Arabidopsis thaliana: one gene and its partner. The gene in region 1 interacts genetically with each later gene. Each region holds a gene or a part of one and is shown on either strand. Other genes may lie near its edges. The genes, in order: CESA6 and SOS5.

Evidence for each region.
Region 2: changes in CESA6 (region 1) and SOS5 impair growth when combined (synthetic growth defect), as found in Arabidopsis thaliana (one study listed by BioGRID).

The regions. Positions count from the first base shown.
Region 1 is NC_003076.8:25,873,564-25,886,206, forward strand, and holds the start of CESA6 (cellulose synthase 6), read left to right. Parts: upstream 1-7,469; 5' UTR 7,470-7,991; coding exon 7,992-8,072; intron 8,073-8,466; coding exon 8,467-8,662; intron 8,663-8,750; coding exon 8,751-8,953; intron 8,954-9,036; coding exon 9,037-9,314; intron 9,315-9,396; coding exon 9,397-9,663; intron 9,664-9,746; coding exon 9,747-10,092; intron 10,093-10,279; coding exon 10,280-10,417; intron 10,418-10,503; coding exon 10,504-10,629; intron 10,630-10,740; coding exon 10,741-10,953; intron 10,954-11,036; coding exon 11,037-11,313; intron 11,314-11,398; coding exon 11,399-11,595; intron 11,596-11,677; coding exon 11,678-12,028; intron 12,029-12,188; coding exon 12,189-12,643. Other genes in the region: AT5G64730 (Transducin/WD40 repeat-like superfamily protein), read left to right, coding at 167-269, 368-475, 582-691, 780-887, 982-1,027, 1,145-1,276, 1,375-1,458. UniProt on the Arabidopsis thaliana protein: Catalytic subunit of cellulose synthase terminal complexes ('rosettes'), required for beta-1,4-glucan microfibril crystallization, a major mechanism of the cell wall formation. Involved in the primary cell wall formation.
Region 2 is NC_003074.8:17,132,664-17,145,306, reverse strand, and holds SOS5 (Fasciclin-like arabinogalactan family protein), read left to right. Parts: upstream 1-7,047; 5' UTR 7,048-7,432; coding exon 7,433-8,695; 3' UTR 8,696-8,961; downstream 8,962-12,643. Other genes in the region: AT3G46565 (NAC (No apical meristem) domain transcriptional regulator superfamily protein), read right to left, coding at 102-238, 253-376; TIM9 (Tim10/DDP family zinc finger protein), read right to left, coding at 6,006-6,192, 6,581-6,675; AT3G46540 (ENTH/VHS family protein), read left to right, coding at 9,896-10,038, 10,134-10,256, 10,358-10,519, 10,608-11,103; RPP13 (NB-ARC domain-containing disease resistance protein), read left to right, coding at 12,061-12,643. UniProt on the Arabidopsis thaliana protein: May be a cell surface adhesion protein that is required for normal cell expansion.

The DNA of each region.
Region 1 (12,643 bases):
TGTTGCTTGCTTGCAGCTATAAACGATCGAATTAGACACGAGATTTCAAATTTTAGGAGTTTGTGTTACATTAATGTCAAGCTAATTGCAGTTTTCTGTGGTGGAGGCTGATATGATGAATGTGTTTTTTTTGTTTATTCATGTTTCAATGATTTTTGTATCACAGAGACAATGCCAAATTTTGCTCATGTGGTGGTGATCGGCAAGTTTACTACTGGGATGTTTCAACTGGACGTGTAATCCGTAAATTCCGTGGTCATGATGGAGAGGTAAATGTCTCAAAAACGAGGAATCTGGATTGCTTAGGGTTTAGTTTCCTTAGGTATATTGATGATCTCTTGTTTTTTAATGACAATGATCTTACCAGGTCAATGCAGTGAAGTTCAATGATTCGTCGTCTGTGGTTGTATCAGCTGGGTTCGATCGTTCGCTACGTGTATGGGACTGCAGATCTCACAGTGTTGAGCCAGTACAGGTTTTACTCCTTTCATGTTTTGCTGTTTCAAAATCCTGGGAATATGTAATAAGTTAAGAACTAAATCAAAGTGGATTTTTTGTTCTTTGATTTTTTTGTTTTCCAGATCATTGATACATTTTTGGATACAGTCATGTCTGTTGTTTTAACAAAGACTGAGATTATTGGTGGTAGTGTCGATGGAACAGTTCGCACATTTGACATGCGTATCGGTAGGTATGTGTAACTCATTACAAGAGATAAAATTTGGTAATGTTTCTTTCTTCTGGGATTGATTGGGAATTTCTGTTTTAATTGAAATCAGGGAGATGTCAGATAACCTAGGCCAACCGGTTAACTGTATATCGATATCAAATGATGGAAACTGCGTTTTAGCTGGTTGCTTGGATTCTACTCTGCGTCTACTTGACAGGTAAAAGAAACTAAACCAAATTGTATCTTCTAACTAAACTAAATTTCCCTTTGCAGATTTGTCTTAATTCTTATGAATATCTTTAAAATTACAGGACCACAGGAGAGCTACTCCAAGTCTATAAAGGTCATATTTCCAAGGTTAGTCATTAGTTTGAAAGATAATGAAACCATAATCCCATATAGCTGCTTGATTATATCTTAGTTACAACATTTAGTGTATGACTAATGACTGGTTTTATCGTATGTAAAAAACAGTCATTTAAAACGGATTGTTGCCTCACGAATTCGGATGCACATGTGATTGGAGGATCAGAGGATGGATTGGTTTTCTTTTGGGATTTGGTAGATGCAAAAGTGCTATCGAAATTTAGAGCTCACGATTTAGTGGTAAAGATTCTTTCTCTTCTTTTTAACTTGTTTTAAATCTTTTCAGAATAGTATTGATGTTGATTTTTATCTTCGATTGTTGAAATTTTTTGTGGCAGGTGACAAGCGTGAGTTACCACCCGAAGGAAGACTGTATGTTGACTTCTTCGGTCGATGGTACAATTCGTGTCTGGAAAAAATGAAGAAACAACAAATCTTGACTTCGATTGATTTTGTTATTTACGTCTCAAACTCACCTTTCTTCTTCTACTATAGGCTATAGCTGGTTTTTTGGAGTTGGAAAGTTGAAATATTTTGTAGAGTACTTGTATCATTGTATGTGAAGGAAAACTTTTTTTAGGCCTTTTGGTTTTACAATAGCCGTTTGCTGGAATATTTTGTAGATTCACTTACTCTATGTGAGGAGGAGAGTATTTTATACTTAGATGATTCCAAAAGCCCATTTGACAATTGGGGAGAAAACAAGGAAATGTCCGTTTTACATAAAAAGGATGTGAAATAATCGGAAGCCCAATTATGAGAAAATGAGTGAAAAAGAATAAAGGGGTAAAAAGTGTGGCTGCTGGGATTCGAGCCCAGGTCTCCACGGCCACAACGTGGAATTCTAACCACTAAACTACAGCCACTTTGATGGTAACTTTTAAAATCTTGTATATATAATTTCATATCTGTGTGTGGGGTAACTTTTAGCTATTTGATTGCCCCATCCGATTGAACTTGGAATCAAGTAATATCCTTTTCTTTTTGTTTAAATATTCTCCCTACTTTACCTTCTGAATCTACCAAATTAGGAATTAAGATTCTATTCTTCTCCCAATTATTCCCACGTTTAAAAAGATAACGAAACTGAATCTCTGATTTGATTTATGAAATGTTTTATAACTTACAAAAGAGAATCACATAGCTGGAAAATATGGGGTAGCAGTGAAGAAGAACATGGCAATGGCATATTAAGAGTTAAGACCAATCTTTTGCATGTGAATTCTTTCACATATTATATTTATTTAATCTCTTATCCGCCGCCCCGTAATTTTATTTTTATTAGGAAGACAAATTCAACTTCACAATTAACAACGGTATATCATACTTCCCTCAAGTGATATATTATATATTAATAACTATAAATTGTTTTACTCTTTAATTCGATTTTGACATTTTAAAGTCGTTTTACGATGATGACCTCTTAACCACTATTCAAAAAATAAATAACGAGTTACAAGACATCTACGCAATAGACGATTATAGACCGTACTGATTATCGTTTAGATATTAAATTTATTTCGGAAGCAGAGTAGCAGAGTTAGAGAATTTCAATGTGGTTTTTCATTTTCTAACATAGTAGATGTTTTATATTATTTTTTATATTACATTCTAAATGTTTTAGTTTTGATATTTATTACTTTACTAGAAAAAAAAAAAGGTTCAAATGTGGTTTGAGATTATATTTTTCTCTGAAGATTCAGTTTTCAATTTTACTATTTTTGAAACATTAAGAAATTATTTTAACGCCAAGTAAAATGTTGATCGTTTAGCGACTAATAAAAACCACTTTGAGCTTAACAATAAAATTACGTACGGTCCAAATCATATCATTAATCTTACCCGAACAATCCTACTCGGTCGTCGGAAAGTAAACAACTAGTTTCGGTCCGAATCTGATCAGGCGAACGTACGGTAACAGAACTGTTAAAACGAACCAATGAGGTCGCGAGTATAATATAAAGAACTGTACTCGTGGAAGTTGAAACTGGCCATGAGCTGTCGAAAGGCAAAGAAGACCTAACGTTACCGCTGCCCGTAAGAATATCTCAAACGCTGCCCGAAATCTGAGAGAGGAGAGTTCCTTAATACGGACCAGTTAGACTTTTTTTTTTGTTTGTTGTCTAAAGTACAACAAAGCAATCTCACAGCTGTCCAATATTGTTTTATTCATCTTTATATAATTTTGTGCTTAATTATATAGGATATACTTTTCAAATTTAATGCAACCACAAATATTTTACAAAATAACGTATTAATGGGATTAGTCCATGTTGGTGTGTTATGACATTTTTTAGAGTGTAGGAGGTATAAGAATTAAGAAGATTATTGGCTATGAATTATTGAAATATTTTACTGCACCTATTATTTTCAATACATGTGTACCAAACTGGTCTTTTAAAAAATTCTATTAATTTAAGTTTTGCCGTATATATGTATCAATTTATGATACTTAATTAGTAATATGATTTTTACCAATCTTAAATTCTCCTTATGGACGAAAAAAATTAAAAACATCCTCTTATGGACTCCACCGACAAGATAATTACTATTTGACACGTGGCATTAACAATTTATTAATGCTAATAAGTAATTAGAATTTGATTATTCCGGTATTCCCCGTTCCATAGAGTTTTAATTATTTTTTTCGAAAATAAATGATGTTTTCCATTCTGTAGTACAAATGAAAGCTAGATTTTTTCTCTACATTTCATCATTAGTTTGAATTATAAACATTAATTTTATGTTAACATTAGTCTAGCTATTTTTTTTGTAAAAATGTACATCACCAAAATTACCAATATAGAAGGGTAGTTTTATTTTACTTGTTGTCTTTGTTTTTTAGTTTGATTTTGTCGTCATTGTCTTCGATTTTAAGGTTATAACTTATAACCATGTTATTCTTCAGAGAGTTATGGAATAAACACATTCTTACTTTGAGCTCACGTCGTAAATATGCACTTTTTGGTCGTCAATAATAGATAAATAACAACGAAAATTGCCAGCGTAGAAAAAGATAAATTAGATATTTTAAAGAAAGCTACTCATTGCGCACTATCTCGCAGTTATGATTACACTTTTACTAGAAACAATTTGTAAAATAACAACGAGTCAAAAGTCACCCATGAGTCATGCAACACGTGTTTAGATTAATCATATCGTTTAACTAAATTCATGTACACGTAAAGAAATTTACCATTTATGTGCTTCCACCAAAATACATAATTACATTTGAGTTTCCGTTTAGGGACAGAGATTGAGCTTTGTTCCAGATTAATCACCCGACATCATATAAAATCTTCTTTTTTCCGGCTGAATCATTTGTTCTGTAGCGACTTTGATTTTTAAGCAATGACACTATAATTTATATTATATATATATATATAGAAGGATTCTTATTTTCGATCGCTAAATTAATTAACTTTGAGAAATTTTAAAATGGAAACAAAAGAAAGGAATAAAGAAGGAAACAAGCAACTATGTGATATAGCCTAGGTGGTACATTTTGTTTTGGTTAAAGAAACAACACAACTATGTCGCAAACGCTATGAGTTTTTCAACACCAATTTCGTTTTCGGTCATTTGTAGAATAACATGTTAATGAAGTTAAATCTTTGAACTTGTTTATATCAATATTTAACATGCTCCAACGAAGAAGTACTATTTTTTTTTATCACAAATGTTTACTGGGTTAAGTGGTGTATATGTTGTAATGGTTTCTTCTTTGTCAAGGTAGATTATAGACTTGACCTGATACGTCTATGTATTTTTTTTTGGTTTTAATGTGAAGTAATACGTCTATGTTACTTTGATTTTGTTTTCGGTAAGGTCTATGTTACTTTGATTGACACACTGGATATGTACTACTCAAAATTATACTAAATATATAGCAAATATAGATATAACTCATTACTCAATATACACACATGTGTGTGTAAATTTGCTAATCATGAAGCGTAAATTTTTGTGCAACCTAAGCCTATGCGTTCTGATTGCGTAATCTTAAAGCGAGAACAATTAAATTTTGAGAAAAAAACAAAGTAATCACACAAAGAAAAAAAAAATCATGTGAACGACAAACAAACCCCACATAAAATGGTGTATTCGCCACTCGTTAATTGGCTATGTTCCGCGTCGCTCAGCAAATGGATCGTGAGTGTATCAGTTACAAGTGAAGCCGAAAAGAGGAAAAGAAAAAAAGAATAATAATTGTAGATTTTATCAATAATTTATACCATTTCGTTTGAAATTATTGAAAGAATTTTTTTAACATCATATTTATATATAGATTTTACTGTAATGCAAGTTATGGTTTTCAGTAATACAAATTTCTAACACCGAGCCCGCCATTAAGGTTTATGTAGTTTCTAGTAGATTTTACATTATGTTAAAAACGTAAAATTTGAACGATCTACATATTATTATGTATTTTTCTAATATATTTTTTAGTTGAAACAACCAATTTTGTAAATAGCTGTGGTATGATCGAATCAAGTTGAAGTGCAACCCAAACATTAATCGGGTCTACGTACATAAAATCTCTAATCACGTTGACCAAGCGCTCCAGCTCGATCTGCTAGTAAAAACAGAAGCAATATATTTTTTATTTTTTTTTATGTACTTAGTTAGTGGTATATATATAGTTGTAAATTGGGTATTTCCAAAGAACCAAAGTAATGTAAACTATACATAAGCGAAAATTTAAACGTTTTTCTATTCTATAGTCTTGAAAATTAAAACAATATTTACTAGGAAAAAGAATAATATAAGGGCACCGACAGTTTCTATAAGAACATGTGGCACGAGGGCTTGGAGAAGACAGTACACAGCATTCAATCAATCATGAAAACGACATTTGATGTGGTAACCTACTAAAGTTCGATCTTTTTTTATGAAAGTTTCTTAATATTTCTTTAATTTCCGGACTATATCTATCAACAAGTCAAAAGATTAAAAAAAATCAACAAGCAAAATACTGTTAAAATATTGTTTTATATATACCACGAACTATTTGTCGGCAAATGTATACATATAGTATAGACATCATACATGGGCAAATCGCATATATTTGTGTGATGTGATACCATAGTCTCAATAATTTGAACATTTTTCTCTTATTTAAGCACGGAGGAAAAATTAGCTATATGGCGACTTGGCGAGTGGAGCCAAGATTAAAAAAAAAAAAAGCATGTTATTTAAAAATATGGTAGACATAACATACAAAAAAATATAGTAAAATAAACAGAACTGATTGAACAAAAGAGAGTGATCAAAGTTGAAAAATAATTTAACTATAAAAACTAAAAAGAAAATTATCAGAGGATGGAGATATTAAACTAATAAAAATGTAATTAAATAAGTAAACTATAAATTAAATAAGTAAAAAATTAAACGTAATTAGAAGGAACAAAAAAAACTAGAAAAGTAAAAACATAAGAGAGGAAGGAGGGAAGCAAAAGTGAAAACCAATGCAGTCAACAGTCAAAAACCATGATACAGTCCATGCGTAGAACATAATTAACTTAAGCAATAAATTTAATAAGTAAAAAATTAAACGTAATTAGAAGGAACAAAAAAAAAGTATATAAAAAATTAGAAGGAACAAAAAAAAAAACTAGAAAATAGGATCTTGGACACGATGCTTACAGATTGTTTTTTGTCTGGGAAGTAAATGCCCATATCTGTTTCTCGACATTTTGAAGTCTCTCTAACAAAATAATTAGAGGAATTAAGAACTTGATTGTGTAACTTTTTTTTTAATCTTAAATTAAGATAATACTATTTCATTACAACTATTATTTTCTTGCACATGTTGCAAGAACGTGAGAGTGTACGCAGACAAATAATTAAAACGAAAATAAAATTATAATGATTATATACAATCTCGGCTATCAATTGATTAATAGAGAAAATTGACTAACCACTCTGAATTGGCTCAAAATGTAGTTATTAATTCAAACCGAGTTTCACTTCATTTATATTATTTTCATTTTTTAACTTTAAAATATATATATTTAATAAACCAAATATGATCTAAACTAAATCTAAAAGGCTCCATCCAAAGTAGATTTGATTTTACTATATATTTAAAACATGTATGGTAGGAAAATTTAACCGAAACCAAATTAAACACATTTTAGGGTGAAGAAAATCACCCAAAAAAAAAAGGTGACTTTTTTTTGTAACAAAACAAAAGACCTAAAGTTTAGAGACAAAATAAAATGTTAGGGTGATTCAATGCATCACATAATACAGTATTGTTAATAATTAATGGCTAATAATAATGTGTGTTTGGAAGTTTTTACTAATCTCTTCTTTACAACAACAAGTGGAGTGGAAGAGAGAGATACACACAAGGTTTAATGGGTCCCACATTCTTTTACTTCTCAAAATTTAATTACTAATTTTATCTAATTTTGGTGCTCTTTTTCCTCATCTACATAATTGCCTTTAATTATCTCACACCATTTAACTAATCACTGATTCTCTTCTTCCTTACGCGTTTGTACTTAACCCCCTTTTATCATCATTTCGCAGGCTTGCGTCTGTCTCTCTCTCTCTCTCCACCATTGACTCTCTCTCTCTCTCTCGCTCTGGAATCATCCTTTATTTCTGTGACTGTGTGCACTTTCAGAGAGGAGAGAGAGGCCCAAAACCAAAAGAAAAGAAAAGGTTGTGGCTTGCAGCTGAATCAATACCATCTCCATATATACAATACACCTTCACTATTCCCCCTTTTGTATTTTTATTATATTTTTCCCATCAAAGTCTGTTTTTTTAGACTCCGGTTTGCCGCTTTGTGTGTGTGTGAGAGAGAGAAAGAGAGCTATCTATCCTCTGATTTATGGTCTCTGGATCTCTGACAATCGAGTTGAGTTAATTACAACACATTCCTCTCTTTCTCAATCGATCTGTGAAATCCAAGATTGTTAGCTGTGTCTGTTTTCAGACAAATATGAACACCGGTGGTCGGTTAATCGCCGGTTCTCACAACAGGAATGAGTTTGTCCTCATTAATGCCGATGAGAATGCCCGAGTATGTTTCTCCTCTTCTTTTGTTTCCAATTCTCTGTCTTTTGATCTGTGTTTCTCTATCTCTGTTCAAAAGTCTCTGACTTTTTTTACTTTTCTTGTGGATCTGGCTCTTACCACTGCAAATCAATTAAGATTTAGGGTTTTTAGTACTAGTATTAAGATTACGTACCCTTGTAGCTAATTTTATCAAGAATTGATTGTGTCGGTGGGATGGATTTTTCCGGATTTGACTTGTCTTAATTCTCCAATTTAAGAGATTTCTTCAATTGCAATTATGAATCTATCAATGTGAAGAGTAATAATTATGTTATTGGGTTACTTTGATCTGGTGTGAGATCCAGTCTGATAGTGTCACTACTATGATCTGATGTATTTAACTCTACTGTTTTGTGCAGATAAGATCAGTCCAAGAGCTGAGTGGACAGACATGTCAAATCTGCAGAGATGAGATCGAATTGACTGTTGATGGAGAACCGTTTGTGGCATGTAACGAATGTGCATTCCCTGTGTGTAGACCTTGCTATGAGTACGAAAGACGAGAAGGCAATCAAGCTTGTCCACAGTGCAAAACCCGTTTCAAACGTCTTAAAGGTTCGTTGTTTGTTAGACCAAATTTCTTTGGTTTTTTGTGAATGTAGAAGATTTTCTGATTTGTTCGGCCTATGTTGTTGTTTGTTAGGAAGTCCAAGAGTTGAAGGTGATGAAGAGGAAGATGACATTGATGATTTAGACAATGAGTTTGAGTATGGAAATAATGGGATTGGATTTGATCAGGTTTCTGAAGGTATGTCAATCTCTCGTCGCAACTCCGGTTTCCCACAATCTGATTTGGATTCAGCTCCACCTGGCTCTCAGATTCCATTGCTGACTTACGGCGACGAGGTAAAAATCTCAGAATGTATCCACATTGTATAACCCATCTTCAGTAATTGGCTCACTCAGATTTCTCTTTTGTTTTATTACAGGACGTTGAGATTTCTTCTGATAGACATGCTCTTATTGTTCCTCCTTCACTTGGTGGTCATGGCAATAGAGTTCATCCTGTTTCTCTTTCTGACCCGACCGTGGCTGCACATCCAAGGCCTATGGTACCTCAGAAAGATCTTGCGGTTTATGGTTATGGAAGTGTCGCTTGGAAAGATCGGATGGAGGAATGGAAGAGAAAGCAGAATGAGAAACTTCAGGTTGTTAGGCATGAAGGAGATCCTGATTTTGAAGATGGTGATGATGCTGATTTTCCAATGTAAGGCAAAGAATATAATTTTTTTTGTTGATGTCTTGTTCCGTTGCAGTGATATTTATCAAGCCTTTTTTTTCCATTTTAGGATGGATGAGGGAAGGCAGCCATTGTCTAGGAAGATACCAATCAAATCGAGCAAGATAAATCCTTACCGGATGTTAATTGTGCTACGTCTTGTGATTCTTGGTCTCTTCTTTCACTACCGTATTCTTCACCCCGTCAAAGATGCATATGCTTTGTGGCTTATTTCTGTTATATGTGAGATATGGTTTGCTGTTTCATGGGTTCTTGATCAGTTCCCTAAATGGTACCCTATCGAGCGAGAAACGTACTTGGACCGACTCTCATTAAGGTACTTACATCTTGTGGGTTATTACACTTGGAAATGTTAAAACTTTGTTTTGGGGATATAATCCTTATTTTTTTTGTTTGCAGATATGAGAAAGAAGGGAAACCGTCGGGACTATCCCCTGTGGATGTATTTGTTAGTACAGTGGATCCATTGAAAGAGCCTCCGCTTATTACTGCAAATACTGTCTTGTCTATTCTTGCTGTTGATTATCCTGTCGATAAGGTTGCTTGTTACGTATCTGATGATGGTGCTGCTATGCTTACTTTCGAAGCTCTTTCTGAGACCGCTGAATTCGCAAGGAAATGGGTTCCTTTCTGCAAGAAATATTGTATTGAGCCTCGTGCTCCCGAATGGTATTTCTGCCATAAAATGGACTACTTGAAGAATAAAGTTCATCCCGCATTTGTTAGGGAGCGGCGAGCCATGAAGGTTACTAGTTCTTACTTTTTTATAAATTTGATTTGATGAGAAAAGTTTTGGTCTAATTGATTCTTGCTTTAGAAAAAAAAAATTCATGAGAAAAGTTATCAATCTTTTGTTATATGGGCTCTTATGAAAGAAGATGGTGGCTTTGAAAATTGATTTGAAAGATTGTGTGTTTTACTGGTTTTGACAGAGAGATTATGAAGAATTCAAAGTAAAGATCAATGCTTTAGTAGCAACAGCACAGAAAGTGCCTGAGGATGGTTGGACTATGCAAGACGGTACACCTTGGCCCGGTAATAGTGTGCGAGATCATCCTGGCATGATTCAGGTGAGTTTCAAATGCTTCTTATTTCTGAAAAGCCTTCTTATGTGTTGTCCTTCAAAATTTAATTATACTTTGTTTTCTTGTTAAAGGTCTTCCTTGGAAGTGACGGTGTTCGTGATGTCGAAAACAACGAGTTGCCTCGATTAGTTTACGTTTCTCGTGAGAAGAGACCCGGATTTGATCACCATAAGAAGGCTGGAGCTATGAATTCCCTGGTAAATGATATACTTTTTAAAGCTCTAAACCTTCTTCTTTGTAAATTACGTCTTGCCATTTATTGAAATGGTTCCTGACTCTTGATTTCATCTACAAAACTTTTGTTGAAGATACGAGTCTCTGGGGTTCTATCAAATGCTCCTTACCTTCTGAATGTCGATTGTGATCACTACATCAACAATAGCAAAGCTCTTAGAGAAGCAATGTGTTTCATGATGGATCCTCAGTCAGGAAAGAAAATCTGTTATGTTCAGTTCCCTCAAAGGTTCGATGGGATTGATAGGCACGATCGATACTCAAATCGCAATGTTGTGTTCTTTGATGTAAGTACAGCCACCACTTTCCTATTGTATCCCTTTTTCTTGAGATTTCTGTAGAATACCAACTAATGAATCTTTATTTACAGATCAATATGAAAGGTTTGGATGGGCTACAAGGGCCTATATACGTCGGTACAGGTTGTGTTTTCAGGAGGCAAGCGCTTTACGGATTTGATGCACCGAAGAAGAAGAAGGGCCCACGTAAGACATGCAATTGCTGGCCAAAATGGTGTCTCCTATGTTTTGGTTCAAGAAAGAATCGTAAAGCAAAGACAGTGGCTGCGGATAAGAAGAAGAAGAATAGGGAAGCGTCAAAGCAGATCCACGCATTAGAAAATATCGAAGAGGGCCGCGTCACTAAAGGTATCATACAAATCCTGTTTGTTGTTAAACTCTTTCGTTAGTCGGTGCATTTTACTAAAAAAATAAAATTTAAAAAACATTCTAGGTTCTAACGTAGAACAGTCAACCGAGGCAATGCAAATGAAGTTGGAGAAGAAATTTGGGCAGTCTCCTGTATTTGTTGCATCTGCGCGTATGGAGAATGGTGGGATGGCTAGAAACGCAAGCCCGGCTTGTCTGCTTAAAGAAGCCATCCAAGTCATTAGTTGCGGATATGAAGATAAAACTGAATGGGGAAAAGAGGTAAGCAGCCGGTTTTAAACCTTTGTTGTGTTTATTCAATCAATTCTTGATTTTGATGATGACCTTGTGAAAAAAATCTCAGATTGGGTGGATCTATGGTTCTGTTACCGAAGATATTCTTACGGGTTTTAAGATGCATTCTCATGGTTGGAGATCTGTTTATTGTACACCAAAGTTAGCGGCTTTCAAAGGATCAGCTCCAATCAATCTTTCGGATCGTCTCCATCAAGTTCTTCGATGGGCGCTTGGGTCGGTTGAGATTTTCTTGAGTAGGCATTGTCCTATTTGGTATGGTTATGGAGGTGGGTTGAAATGGCTTGAGCGGTTGTCCTACATTAACTCTGTGGTTTACCCGTGGACCTCTCTACCGCTCATCGTTTACTGTTCTCTCCCTGCCATCTGTCTTCTCACTGGAAAATTCATCGTTCCCGAGGTAAAACAATCATCTTGAGTTCTCAAAATATGAATCTTTATTTCACGTTTTGTGCTTATTCATTTTCCTTGCCACTGGGGGTTAAAAGTATCATATGAATCTTTATTCCAAGTTGTGTGTTTTAAGACCGGAAAACGATTCTTGTTCCTTCTTTTTCCAGATTAGCAACTATGCGAGTATCCTCTTCATGGCGCTCTTCTCGTCGATTGCAATAACGGGTATTCTCGAGATGCAATGGGGCAAAGTTGGGATCGATGATTGGTGGAGAAACGAACAGTTTTGGGTCATTGGAGGTGTTTCTGCGCATCTGTTTGCTCTCTTCCAAGGTCTCCTCAAGGTTCTTGCTGGTGTCGACACTAACTTCACAGTCACATCAAAAGCAGCTGATGATGGAGAGTTCTCTGACCTTTACCTCTTCAAATGGACTTCACTTCTCATCCCTCCAATGACTCTACTCATCATAAACGTCATTGGAGTCATAGTCGGAGTCTCTGATGCCATCAGCAATGGATACGACTCGTGGGGACCGCTTTTCGGAAGACTGTTCTTTGCACTTTGGGTCATCATTCATCTTTACCCGTTCCTTAAAGGTTTGCTTGGGAAACAAGATAGAAT
Region 2 (12,643 bases), on another chromosome or scaffold:
CAATAACCCAAAAAGCTATCTCCTGCATGGTACTTTAAAATATAGATGATAAAATACTTGACAAATTGTACGACCAAATCGTTGAATCATGATTTATTGGTTTAGTTGCCGCTCTTATCTGTTAGGTTTTTCTTGATCCCAATGATATCCCCTATGTCCTTGTCGATGATATATTCTTTCTCATTCACCCTCCAATTCCCGCGGCCGATGCCATTGTTGTTGTCTCCCGTGATCTCCCCTTTGAATACTTACCACGACCAATCTTCTTCTCGGAGATTTGAGTTCTTGTCGAGAAGTAGTACCACTCGTCTTCTTTGAAAAAAGAATTGTTGGAATGGTCAAGCAACCATGGCTCCTTGGCATAAACATCCTTCATCACTATGAAGTTTCTGGAGTCTTCACATCTTAGCTCACGTTTAAGATTAATCGTTGATGACTTCTTAGTACGTTGGATCAAAGTGAATCCTTTCGTCTTCTTCGAAGTATTCCATCAACATCTTTATGATTTTCAAAGGATTAAGATTTTTTGTGAGTTGAGAGATTACTAAAATTAAAACTAAGATAATAAATTTCCGATGATTAACTATAAGAAAAGAAGTGAGCACAATTGTAAATTTAATTAACTTGTGAATAGCTTGTACAAAAAAACCTTTATAAATTAAGAAAATTTTCCGGTCTCGAGTCGGGTCAGCGTAATATTTAACCTAAAATAATAAAAAAATGTTTGAAAATTAAATGTTATTATATGTTCACATCAGTATCATAAATTAATAATTGTATAAATTTATCAATATATATATAATACATATATAATACATCCTACTATATTATTTGGGAAGTACATTTTAAATGTAACCTTAATTTTTGTAAGTAATTACATAGGTATGCCATTAGAAATAAAATTTTAAAGAGTAAATTAATTTATCTCTTTAAGGATTAAAAAGTCAAATACTAATTTAATTAAAAAACGAAATACATTATTAATTTCCAAAAATAATAACCAATCATAGTCAACATATAAGATTTGATATCTAAATTTTAATTAATTTAATTTAATTAGAAAAACGAAATACATTATTAATTTCTAAAAAAGTAACCAATTAAAATCAACAAATTATATTTGATATCTAAATTATCATATTAATTTTTTATTAATTATTATAGTTCACTTCTCATTTTTATATGATTTTATTTTTTCAGAAAAATAATATCATCATTATAAAAAAACAACTAAAGTTTTTTCCCATATGCCATAAATTGAATTTTTAAAAACAAATATAAACTGTTCAATACATAAAAAAATATTATAACGGATAAAAAATAGATTTAAGAAAACTTTCTACTAAGTAACGGGTCATAATTTGAAATATTTATATTCAATTTCATACATATTATATTGAAAATTTATAATCTTATATACTACAATAATTAATAACATATTAGATGTGATTTAATTTTTAATACAAGTTGGAAATCCTAGAATTGCATGTTTAGATCGATATTAATACAAGATGGTATACTACAGATGAAACTCTTAAATTAACAATCAAACTACAAGTGTATAATCTTAAACACTAAACAATATAGATAATATCAACAAAACATATACAACTCACAGTTTACTATACATTTAAAATCAAATAAAATAATATCAAATATTTTTAAATCATCTTTACAATAAAAAATTTTAGTTTAACTAAAATATATACCGCAAGTTAATATCTAGATTATAGGGCTTATTGGATCTAAAGACGGATCATCAAAGATTAGAAGCAAAATATATTGAATATTCAAATATCTATCTGTTACCAAATTATAAACAAATAAGTCAATTTAATATTTTATATACGAAATCAATTAAATCTTAATCACATAAAAATTAGCACAAAAAAAGTATTCATCAATTAAAATTTTATCAAATCTCTGTGTTATATAAGTTTTGATACTATATTCGAATAAAGTGTAATATACCTTTTCAATTTGTATTCTTTAACTAATTTATGCTAACTAATATATTTGCTAATCTTATACCTATCAAAACCGACTATCGTTTCTTATCTCTATAGTATTTTTGCAAGACTTTTTTGGTGGATTTGGATAAAAGTGCATTCGGGTCATATGGACATTCTCCTATTAAATAAATATGGTGCACTCCTATGTTATTAGCTAAAATGTTTAGATTCTAATTCAGAATCATATCATTAATAAAATAAATATTAATAAAATTAATATTAACAAAATAAATAGCTTTTTGACAAGACGGATTTGGAGGGACGGGTTTTTGAATCAACATTAATAAAAAAGTAAAATATAATTAATCCACCGTTTTAATACGGGTTAAATCTTTAATTTATTATTTTTTAAGACCACTAATATTAAACATATCAAATCATCCTAATTTAGAAAAGATTATATAAAACCAAAAATGTTATGTGGTATGCATAATGTTACTATATATAAAATTAAACTATAGATATAAATGTATTAGAGAATGATACAATTTGCAAAACTTTTCTATATAAAAAATTATTCTTAAATTTTAAAAATTACTATTTTAAAAAAAAATCATGGACGGTAAAAAAATTACAGAACGAGTTCTATTTTGGAATTAGGTTATATGGTGGATGTATTTGAATCAATATTTATTAAATTTTAAAATATTATTAATATGCTGTTTTAATAGGGGTTAAAACTTCAGTTTTTTTACAATTATCTCATGGATTCGTGGTATACCGTTACTTAATAACAATTATAAACTGTAAAATATAAATATTTTATAAAAATAAAATTTGCAAGTTTTAATATATATTACTTTTAAAAAATAAATCGTCCCGCGGTATACCGCGGGTTAAAATCTAGTATATATATAAATATGTAAGAAAATTTAATAAAGTATAATTTTAGTATTGTTTGTTTTTCTTAACTATGTATTAATCCTAGGGTTCACTAATAATATTTTAGTACGTCAAAATCTTTTTGTATTGTTTTCAAGGTATAAATAATTTTTTGTTATCTTGGATTTGGTTTTAAAAGGATATTGATTTCTATTAAAAAACACAATTTATTTCATATTCATTTTTTTCAAAATTACAAAATTAACTAGAAGTGTGTATAATCTAATAATTCTTCATTTATCGATAAATTAATAGAATTTTGCAGTGTGACACTATTAATTTATAAAAAAAAATATTTTGATTAAAATTGAATTGTCCTTGATTACATATAGAAAATCAGGTTTCTATACATAAGTCTAAGTTACATTAATATTTTTGAATTGACACTTAAAATGATTATGAAAGAAGAAAGACCGTAGGCCATTGTTTCAAATCCTATAACTAAGACATGACCTTGGTTATATCATAAACTTAAGCAATAGTAAACAAAACTTCCAACAACTTGACTTCTTAAATTTCAATGGGTTTAATTATATTCCATAGCTAAACTTAAATAGTTTTTTTTAATATTCAAAAGGTGACTTTTTCTTTCCTTTTTTGGTATATGTACAAAATAACCATGAAACCAAAAAGAATAGAGTAAATGACTATGGGCAATAGTACTTTATCGGAGAGGCAAATAAAATTACTAATATATCATTTTCTCATTTTCTCTTTCATCTTCTCTCTCTTTTTTTCTCTTTCTTTCACTCTCTTTTCTAAGATTCTTTCTATCGCCGGATTTATGTCATCGACTTCTCTTCATTTTATGGATATTGTCTACCACCACTTACTCCGTAATAATATTACGGTGACCATGACCAAATGCCAAATTGTTTTTTCTTTATTTTTATTTGATTCGTGTTACTTCGTAAACTTTTATGGTTTTTCTGAATTTTATGTAATATTTTATGATATACTGGTATCTTTCCGTTTTAACATACTATATTTATGTTTTACATATGATTTTTTAATATGTCATGATGTTGTTTATTTTGACATGCTATTGTTCAAAAATACATAAGATTTTGGACAAATAGCAAGTTGTTTCTTTCGTTATTTTTATTTGATTCGTGTTATTTTTAAAAAGTACATAGATTTTTTTTTCTTTAATTTTTTGCCGTTAGATGACTCCCTTTCTGGACTACTTACTCTGTAATAATATCACGACGATTATTATTTCGTTATTTTTATTTGATTCATGTTATTTTAAAAAAGCACATGATTTCTTTTTTTTTTTCTTTAGTTTTTTGCCATTAGATGACTCCCTTTCTAGACTACTTACCCTGTAATAATATCACGATGATTATGGCTTCCACCTCTAGATCTCTTTTCTTTTCTTTTTCTTACTGAACCTTCGGAGTCTCTTTTCTTTTTCTCACTAAACCTTATGAAATCTCTATCACCATAAATAAAAGTATCATTGTAAAAACTATAAGTTTACAAAGTTAATTGGTCTTTTCTTTACCCCTACTCCACCACAAAAAGAATCATTTACCCAACATTTCTCACGGGAGAACGGCCTATTCCACCATGAATTTAGTTGCTTTATCGTATTCATACATAGAACTTTGAGTCGTGCTTATAACTACATGAACTTAACTAAATTTTGCATTTCCTACACAATATAAATTCAGTCAAAACCATCAATTCGACAAACGGTGTTATTGTTCCGTTAACGAGTGCTAACTGGGATGCCACGTCGTATCACAAAACATGTAGTTAAGTTCATGTAGTTATAAACACGACTCAAAGTTTCTTCTCCACCAGCTTATTCTCAGTTTCCATTCTCCAATTTTCCTTCCAAAACATGGATGTTCCTCGTGGTCTGATATTCAAAGAAAAGCATCTCCCGTAAACTTGAAAATCTCCATGAACATTTTTTATTATTTTTAATTTATTACATTATATATAATTGTTCAAACGACCAAAATAACAATTGTTACCTTGGCTCTACTGGTTCCAAAGTGGAGTAATAATGCCAAAGGTTGTTGGTTTGATTCTCCACTTTGTAAGATTTTGTTTCAGATTTTTTATTTTCTATAATTGAACAAAACGACGCCGTTTTGTGATACGACGTGGCATCCCAGTCAGCACTCGTTAACAAAATAGTAACACCGTTTGTCGAATTGATGGTTTTGACCGAATTTACATAGGAAATTCAAATTTTAGTTAAGTTCATGTAGTTATAAGCACGACTCAAAGTTATGTGTATGAATACGATAAAACAACTAAGTTCATGATGGAATAGGCCGTTCCCCCCATTTCTCACATATGATTAGTTTCTTAATTATGATGTCAAATATCGCTATCCACTAATATTACCTTTTTTTTTTTTAACAACAGAGAAGGTGGCTTTTTCTATACCTATAAAGAATTTCAATTACCAAATTTAGTTAATTTATTATCACTAATTTAATAAATAGACATTCACGAAAATCAGTCACTCGCTCACGTCTACATGAATCAAGTAGTAGTATTGTAGTAATGTTCCACAATCAAACCGAATATGATCTGCTCCCAAAAATAACTCATAGTGAGTTTTGCCAAACGTAGAAGTTGTAACTTTAATAAACTCGTACACGATCATGATGAGAACTCAAGTTGTTTCATCTACATCTCATCTCTTCTCTTCTCTTCCTTCTCTTGGAGAGTTACACTCTTTCTCTCGTCTTCAACGAAGATCACAAATCAAATCTACGGTTCCGAGCAAAACTTCGGTTTGATTAAACTAGACTTACCAATGTCGATATCATTAAAACAAATAAGGTACCTTTAGATTAGATTAGAGCTCGATTTCTTTTGTAACAAAGTTTCAAGATGTTAAGCAATATTACACATTGAAAATTTGGAACTGGTCGATGTAATACTGATATGATATGATATTCTCTAGACTCCATTGAAATACAAGTCAATATCAATATCAGAACTGGATACAGTCAAAATAATTTCACAGTACAAGATGTTCAAAAAACAGTATCGGAGTAGTAACCTGAACAACTAACAACCGGTTTATTCTGGTTTCGGACTCGTAAACCGTACGAAAAAACCAAACAGAAAAAGCAGACTATATCAGTCTTGGGTTGGTGCGTTCTGATTGAGCTCAGCAAACCGCATACCAACACGCATCGTATGCTTAAGGAACTTCTCAGCGCAACGCATCACACAAGTCTCCTCTTGTTTCTGCAGAGATTTGCGTGTGAAGCTATCAACACAGTCCACGAAACACCTCTCCACCAATGAATTGTACATCCTCAAACTGAAATTCACCAAAAACAAAACTCAACAAAAGTAGCCAAAGTTAAGGCCTAAACACAAAACAACAATAGGCATTGCATAAGTTGTTACAACCTAAATAATGTGAAGATTTTGTGAGTTTTGACAACAACACACAAAATGAGACAACACAGTTACATCTTAAAGAACAATTTCACTAACTCTAATCCAAACTTTTGTTTATCAATGAACCATAAGGACCCAAAGATCTATAATTAGCCAGAAATAAGTACACACTAACCTTGAATCAATATTCTAAAGCAAATCTAATTAGCTTTGAACTATAAGAACAAAGATTTCAAGGAGCTAAAAGTCAATTTTTTTGGGAGAATCCTAAATGAAAAACAGAGAAACCGATCTAAGTGACGAACCTATCACGGAGCTGAAGCTGATCGATCATGGAGGCCATTTTGGCTTTGTCTTCTTCAGGAAGACCATCAAGTCCAGCCATCATGCTTGCGTCCATTTTTTTCCCAACTCTTTTCTTTCGACTACAGATTCAATTCTTCATCGCCTCCTTGTTCTGTGCTTAAGACTTAAACCCTAGCGATTTTCTTTATTGGGCCTGGTGGGCTTTATTACTTAGACTTGATTAAAGCCTAATGTTTTACTAATTAGGCCCGATATATAGTAACGGTACCAAATATATAATACTCGCCTACATACATATGGTTATCTTACTTATCTAAATAGTCTCATAAACTATTTGAATTCCTTTCTAAATCAAATACACTAAACTTGAGGGAAAAAAAACAATCTAAACGGTAATCCTAATTCGATATTTTATCTAATCCAAGTAATTGCATTGTACTATTGTTGATTAAGATTAAGTGACTGCAGCTTAATTAATTCACAGCTAGGAAACTCACATGCAAACGAAAAAAACTTTAATGACATTATTATTAAAACTATACCCCACGTGGGCACCACATAAAATACATTAATTTTATTTCAATCAAATAAATCTTCTCACCAAAATCTAATCACTACAAGACTAGAAGTGTCCACAAAAGCATCTCTCTTTCTGACACAATGACATCTGTTTTGTTCTACGCGTGAACTTCAAACTCCCAAACACCGCGCGTCATACAATTCCCAACGATGTCTCTAATTTTAATTTCGTCCACCAAACTTCACTCACACATCACTCCCATCTCTCTATCCACTCACTTCCTTCTCTGTGTTCTTCTCTTTACCAATCTCATGACCTAACTCAAAAAATAATGGCGAACGTAATCTCAATTTCCCATTTTACCCTTCTCGCATTACCTTATTTACTTCTCCTCCTATCTTCCACCGCCGCCGCAATTAACGTCACCGCCGTCCTCTCCTCTTTCCCTAATCTCTCATCTTTCTCAAACCTCCTCGTCTCTTCCGGCATCGCTGCCGAACTCTCCGGTAGAAACTCATTAACCCTCCTCGCCGTTCCCAATTCTCAATTCTCCTCCGCCTCCTTGGACCTCACGCGCCGCCTACCTCCTTCCGCCCTAGCAGATCTCCTCCGCTTCCATGTCCTCCTCCAGTTCCTTTCAGATTCCGATCTCCGACGTATTCCACCGTCAGGCTCCGCCGTCACTACTCTCTACGAAGCTTCCGGTCGTACATTCTTTGGATCTGGATCCGTTAACGTAACCCGTGACCCGGCTTCAGGATCCGTCACGATCGGATCTCCAGCCACCAAAAACGTCACTGTGTTAAAGCTTCTCGAGACCAAACCTCCCAACATAACCGTCCTCACCGTGGACTCCCTCATCGTCCCCACCGGAATCGATATCACCGCATCGGAGACTCTCACTCCACCGCCGACGTCAACATCTCTCTCCCCTCCACCGGCGGGAATCAATCTCACTCAGATACTAATCAACGGACACAACTTCAACGTCGCTCTATCCCTCCTCGTCGCTTCCGGTGTCATAACAGAATTCGAAAACGACGAACGTGGCGCCGGCATCACAGTCTTCGTCCCCACCGACTCCGCCTTCTCCGATCTCCCTTCCAACGTTAACCTCCAGTCATTACCGGCGGAGCAAAAAGCATTCGTGTTAAAATTCCACGTGCTACATTCATACTACACTCTCGGTTCACTAGAATCAATAACCAACCCGGTTCAACCGACATTAGCCACTGAAGAAATGGGAGCCGGTTCATACACTCTCAACATCTCCCGGGTTAACGGGTCAATCGTAACGATCAATTCGGGTGTGGTTTTAGCTGTTGTGACTCAAACGGCTTTTGATCAAAACCCGGTTTCTGTTTTCGGAGTATCCAAAGTTCTTTTGCCTAAAGAACTATTTCCAAAATCGGGTCAACCCGTTGCCACAGCTCCTCCACAGGAGATTTCTTTGTCGCCGGAGAGTTCTAGTGAACAGCCGTCACGACTAGTATCACCACCGCGTGAGATAGTTTCTTCCGGCGCGGTTAAAAGACCACTTGGTTTCTTGGTCTTGTGGTGTTGGTGTATAGCATTTTGTTATGTTTTGGTATGATTTTTTTTTCTTTCTTTCTTTTATCACATAATGTTTTGCCTTCGATTAGGGCTTTATTTATTTTTACTGGATTTTTTTTTTCACAAGGGTTTATATTTATTCACGATAATGTTATTGTATTTGAGTCGAGGAAAAAACAAATTCACTTTCCCATGTAAATTTGGATTGAATGGGCGATTTTGGGTAAAACCCATGACTATATAAATCCTTCATTTTCTCTTTTGCTCTTGAATCATCTTTTACCGAAGGTTATTCCCAGTTTCAACCTAAAATATGTCAATAAATTTTACTTCATCATGCAACCGCGTGACCTCAATTTTCTAAACATTAGTATATTCTAATTTCTACAAATAACACGTGGATTTGTAACTTTTAAATGGTTAATTTATATAGATTGAGGTGTGGTGAAATTCTAAAGAAGTTTGTATGGAATCTAAATATCAGGAGTGAATTAGCTCAGCGGAATAATAAACAGTGAGTGCGTGACAGGTGCAGTAGTGGGTCCTACCAAGTTGACACCGACGGTCCAGATCGCCTATCTCTCAAGTCAATTTCTCGCTAGATTTTCGGGTTATCTAGAGCCGTCGGATCTTAAGATCCCAGTGTCATCAGCGCGCGTGTGGATGTGTACGGCCAGATCTAACTCTACCTTATTCACTTCACTTCACTGACTCCGTGAAAAGAGAAGGGAGTCATTGATCCCCTGTGCTCGCTCACACACTACTACCGTACTATTTTACTAAACCGTATATTTGAGTAATTTAAGATTTTTCTTTTTAACTGTTGATCTTGAAAACGAATTATTCATGTATTTTCAATCGAGAAATTCGTTTTCAAGCTATTAATTTTGTAACTTCTATGTCTTTTTATGAATTTATGAGTTATAAAAATGATTCAAAATCAGATCAGTTGAGGCAATTGATGTGGAATTAATGGTAATTGGTGGTACTATAGTGCTTGACTTTTCCAATGTAAAACGATCAACGATCATTCAAAATTTTCAATCTTGTGGACCTTTTTGGGGATCACAGATTTGGACTTTTCTTGGTTATATTAAAGTTTTTTTTGTCCATATATTCAATGACCAATCTAGAATTCATCTGTTTTTGAACTAACCCAACACTAAAGAAATAGATCCAAAGGCCTCTCTCCTCTCTCTCGTTTTTCTCATATGGTTCTTGATAATAATTTGAAAGAAAGATGTCAATGATGAGCAGAACTCGAAGCAGCATCGCCATGGGAACACCATCTTTCCTTGAGTTGAAGAAACAAGCTTCATTTTTCTTCAAAGAGAAGCTTAAAACGGCGCGTTTAGCTCTCACCGATGTTACTCCTCTTCAACTGTTAGTCTTTTTTATTTTTGGCTTCTTGCTTCTATCTTTTTTTCAGGAGTCTTGGTTTCTAACACAGATTTATGTGTATGTAAATTTGGTTGAAGAATGACTGAGGAAGCTACGGATGGTGAGTCATGTGGACCAAATACACAAACCTTAGGGTCCATTTCAAAGGCTGCTTTTGAGTTTGAAGATTACTTGGCGATTGTTGAAGTCTTGCACAAAAGGTTACATAACTTGTGATTAATCGATACATTTTACTTAAACAAGCATATTCTATTACTGAGATTTGGAGCATTTGTTGTTGTTATTGTTTGGTGTAAATTAGATTGGCAAAGTTCGATAAGAGAAACTGGAGGATGGCTTATAACTCACTAATAGTTGTTGAGCATTTACTCACTCATGGACCAGAGAGTGTTTCCGATGAGTTTCAAGGTGATATAGATGTTATCTCCCAAATGCAAACCTTCCAACAGATTGACGAGAAAGGGTAATGGTTTTAGCGTTTTAAGACGGATCATGTTTGGTATGAAGAGAGTTTCAATGTTCTTAGGCTATAAGGTTTTGTTTTTTGGTAGGTTTAATTGGGGATTAGCTGTTAGAAAGAAAGCAGAGAAGGTTTTAAAGCTACTTGAGAAAGGGGAATTACTTAAGGAAGAAAGGAAGCGAGCTCGTGAGCTGTCTCGAGGGATTCAAGGTTTCGGTAGCTTTAACCACAAGTCTTCATCTCATTCTTTGTCAGAGCATGAAGTCTTACAAGAATCTACAGTCTATAGGAAATGTAATTCCAATTTTACCAAGAATTACGATGAGGATGACCAAGAGAACACTATGGTTTCTCCTAATGACGCCAACCTTTTTCCTCAGCCGCTGGTAGCTGACCCGAGCGAGGAATCTAGGACGGGTATGAAAGAAAATATGGATCCTGAAGATGATGAGAACACAGAGGTAAACCCACTTTTGGGTTTTAGTAAAAAGGAGGGTCAAGAACTAGCCGGAGAAGACGAGAACCATCCATTTACGGATGGCGAGAGTAAGCATACAGTAGTCTTGCTTGATGAGAACACAGATTAAATTTTAATTACGTGATATCGCAATCTGTATAAGAGAAAAAACACGAGAAGAAGATAATGTGTGTATACCAATATGTATACATATCTACAATAATAACACTTCTGTTAATGACTGATCTGTTTTTAACTTGCTTTGTTGCAAGAGAGAGATTAAAATGAACAATGAAGGAAGAATAAAAGAACACAGATAGAAAGATTTAAGTAACTATGGCAGTTGTCTAAAGAATGGATACAATGATATCAAAGTTTTTACCGCACTTGTTTTACTTATTATTTTGAGTAGAATTACTTGGTATCCGTCATACTCGGCTTTAGTAATTCACATCTGCAAATTTGGAACACATGTGGCACATTTTGTATCAATTTATCACACAGTTTATACACAAAAGCACTCAACTATAATATCAGACAAGTATGGTGTTTATAACTCACTCGTAGTTTATGAGCATTTTGCTCACTCACGAACCAGAGAAAATGTTTTCTTATGAGTTTCAAGGTGATAGAGATGTTATCTCAAAAACGCAAATTTCCAACTTGTTTTAGGGTTTAATGGTCAATCATATATGTTTGGTGTGAACAACAATCTATAGACTCTAAATCTTTAAAATTTAACACTTACATAAATATATGTGAAAAATTGAAACTTCCACGAAAGATTGTCTAACAAGTTGAGAGATGAGAACGTATATTGGTCCCACGTCTACTTGAATTATTTTGGACATAGTTACAAACTATATATGCATAGTTTCGAGATAATGTAAGAGAGGTCGAAATTTCATAACAACAAGTCAAGTACGACGGTTTCTTTAATAAAGGTGATGCATAGTTTTGAGATAATATAGGAGAGGTCGAAATTTCATTCCAACAAGTTAAGTACGACGGTTTCTGAAATAAAGAAAACATTTCTTCAATCTTGTGCTTACGGTGATATCCGTGGATTCAAATCGATATTGAGAAGATGGTAGATGCGATCACGGAGTTCGTTGTGGGAAAGATCGGCAACTATCTCATTGAAGAAGCATCAATGTTTATGGCAGTCAAAGAGGATCTAGAAGAGCTGAAGACGGAGTTGACGTGCATCCATGGTTATCTCAAGGACGTTGAAGCGCGAGAAAGAGAAGATGAGGTCTCAAAAGAGTGGTCAAAACTGGTTTTAGATTTCGCTTATGACGTCGAAGATGTTTTGGACACTTATCACTTGAAACTCGAAGAAAGGTCACAAAGGCGAGGCTTGAGGAGATTGACCAACAAAATAGGCAGGAAGATGGATGCGTACAGCATAGTTGATGATATCAGAATTCTCAAGAGAAGAATTTTGGATATCACTCGCAAGAGGGAGACTTATGGTATAGGAGGCTTGAAAGAGCCTCAAGGAGGAGGGAATACTTCAAGTTTGAGAGTGAGACAACTTCGGCGTGCTCGATCTGTTGATCAAGAAGAGGTTGTAGTTGGTTTGGAAGATGATGCTAAGATTCTTTTGGAAAAGCTTCTTGATTATGAAGAGAAAAATAGATTTATTATCTCGATCTTCGGTATGGGAG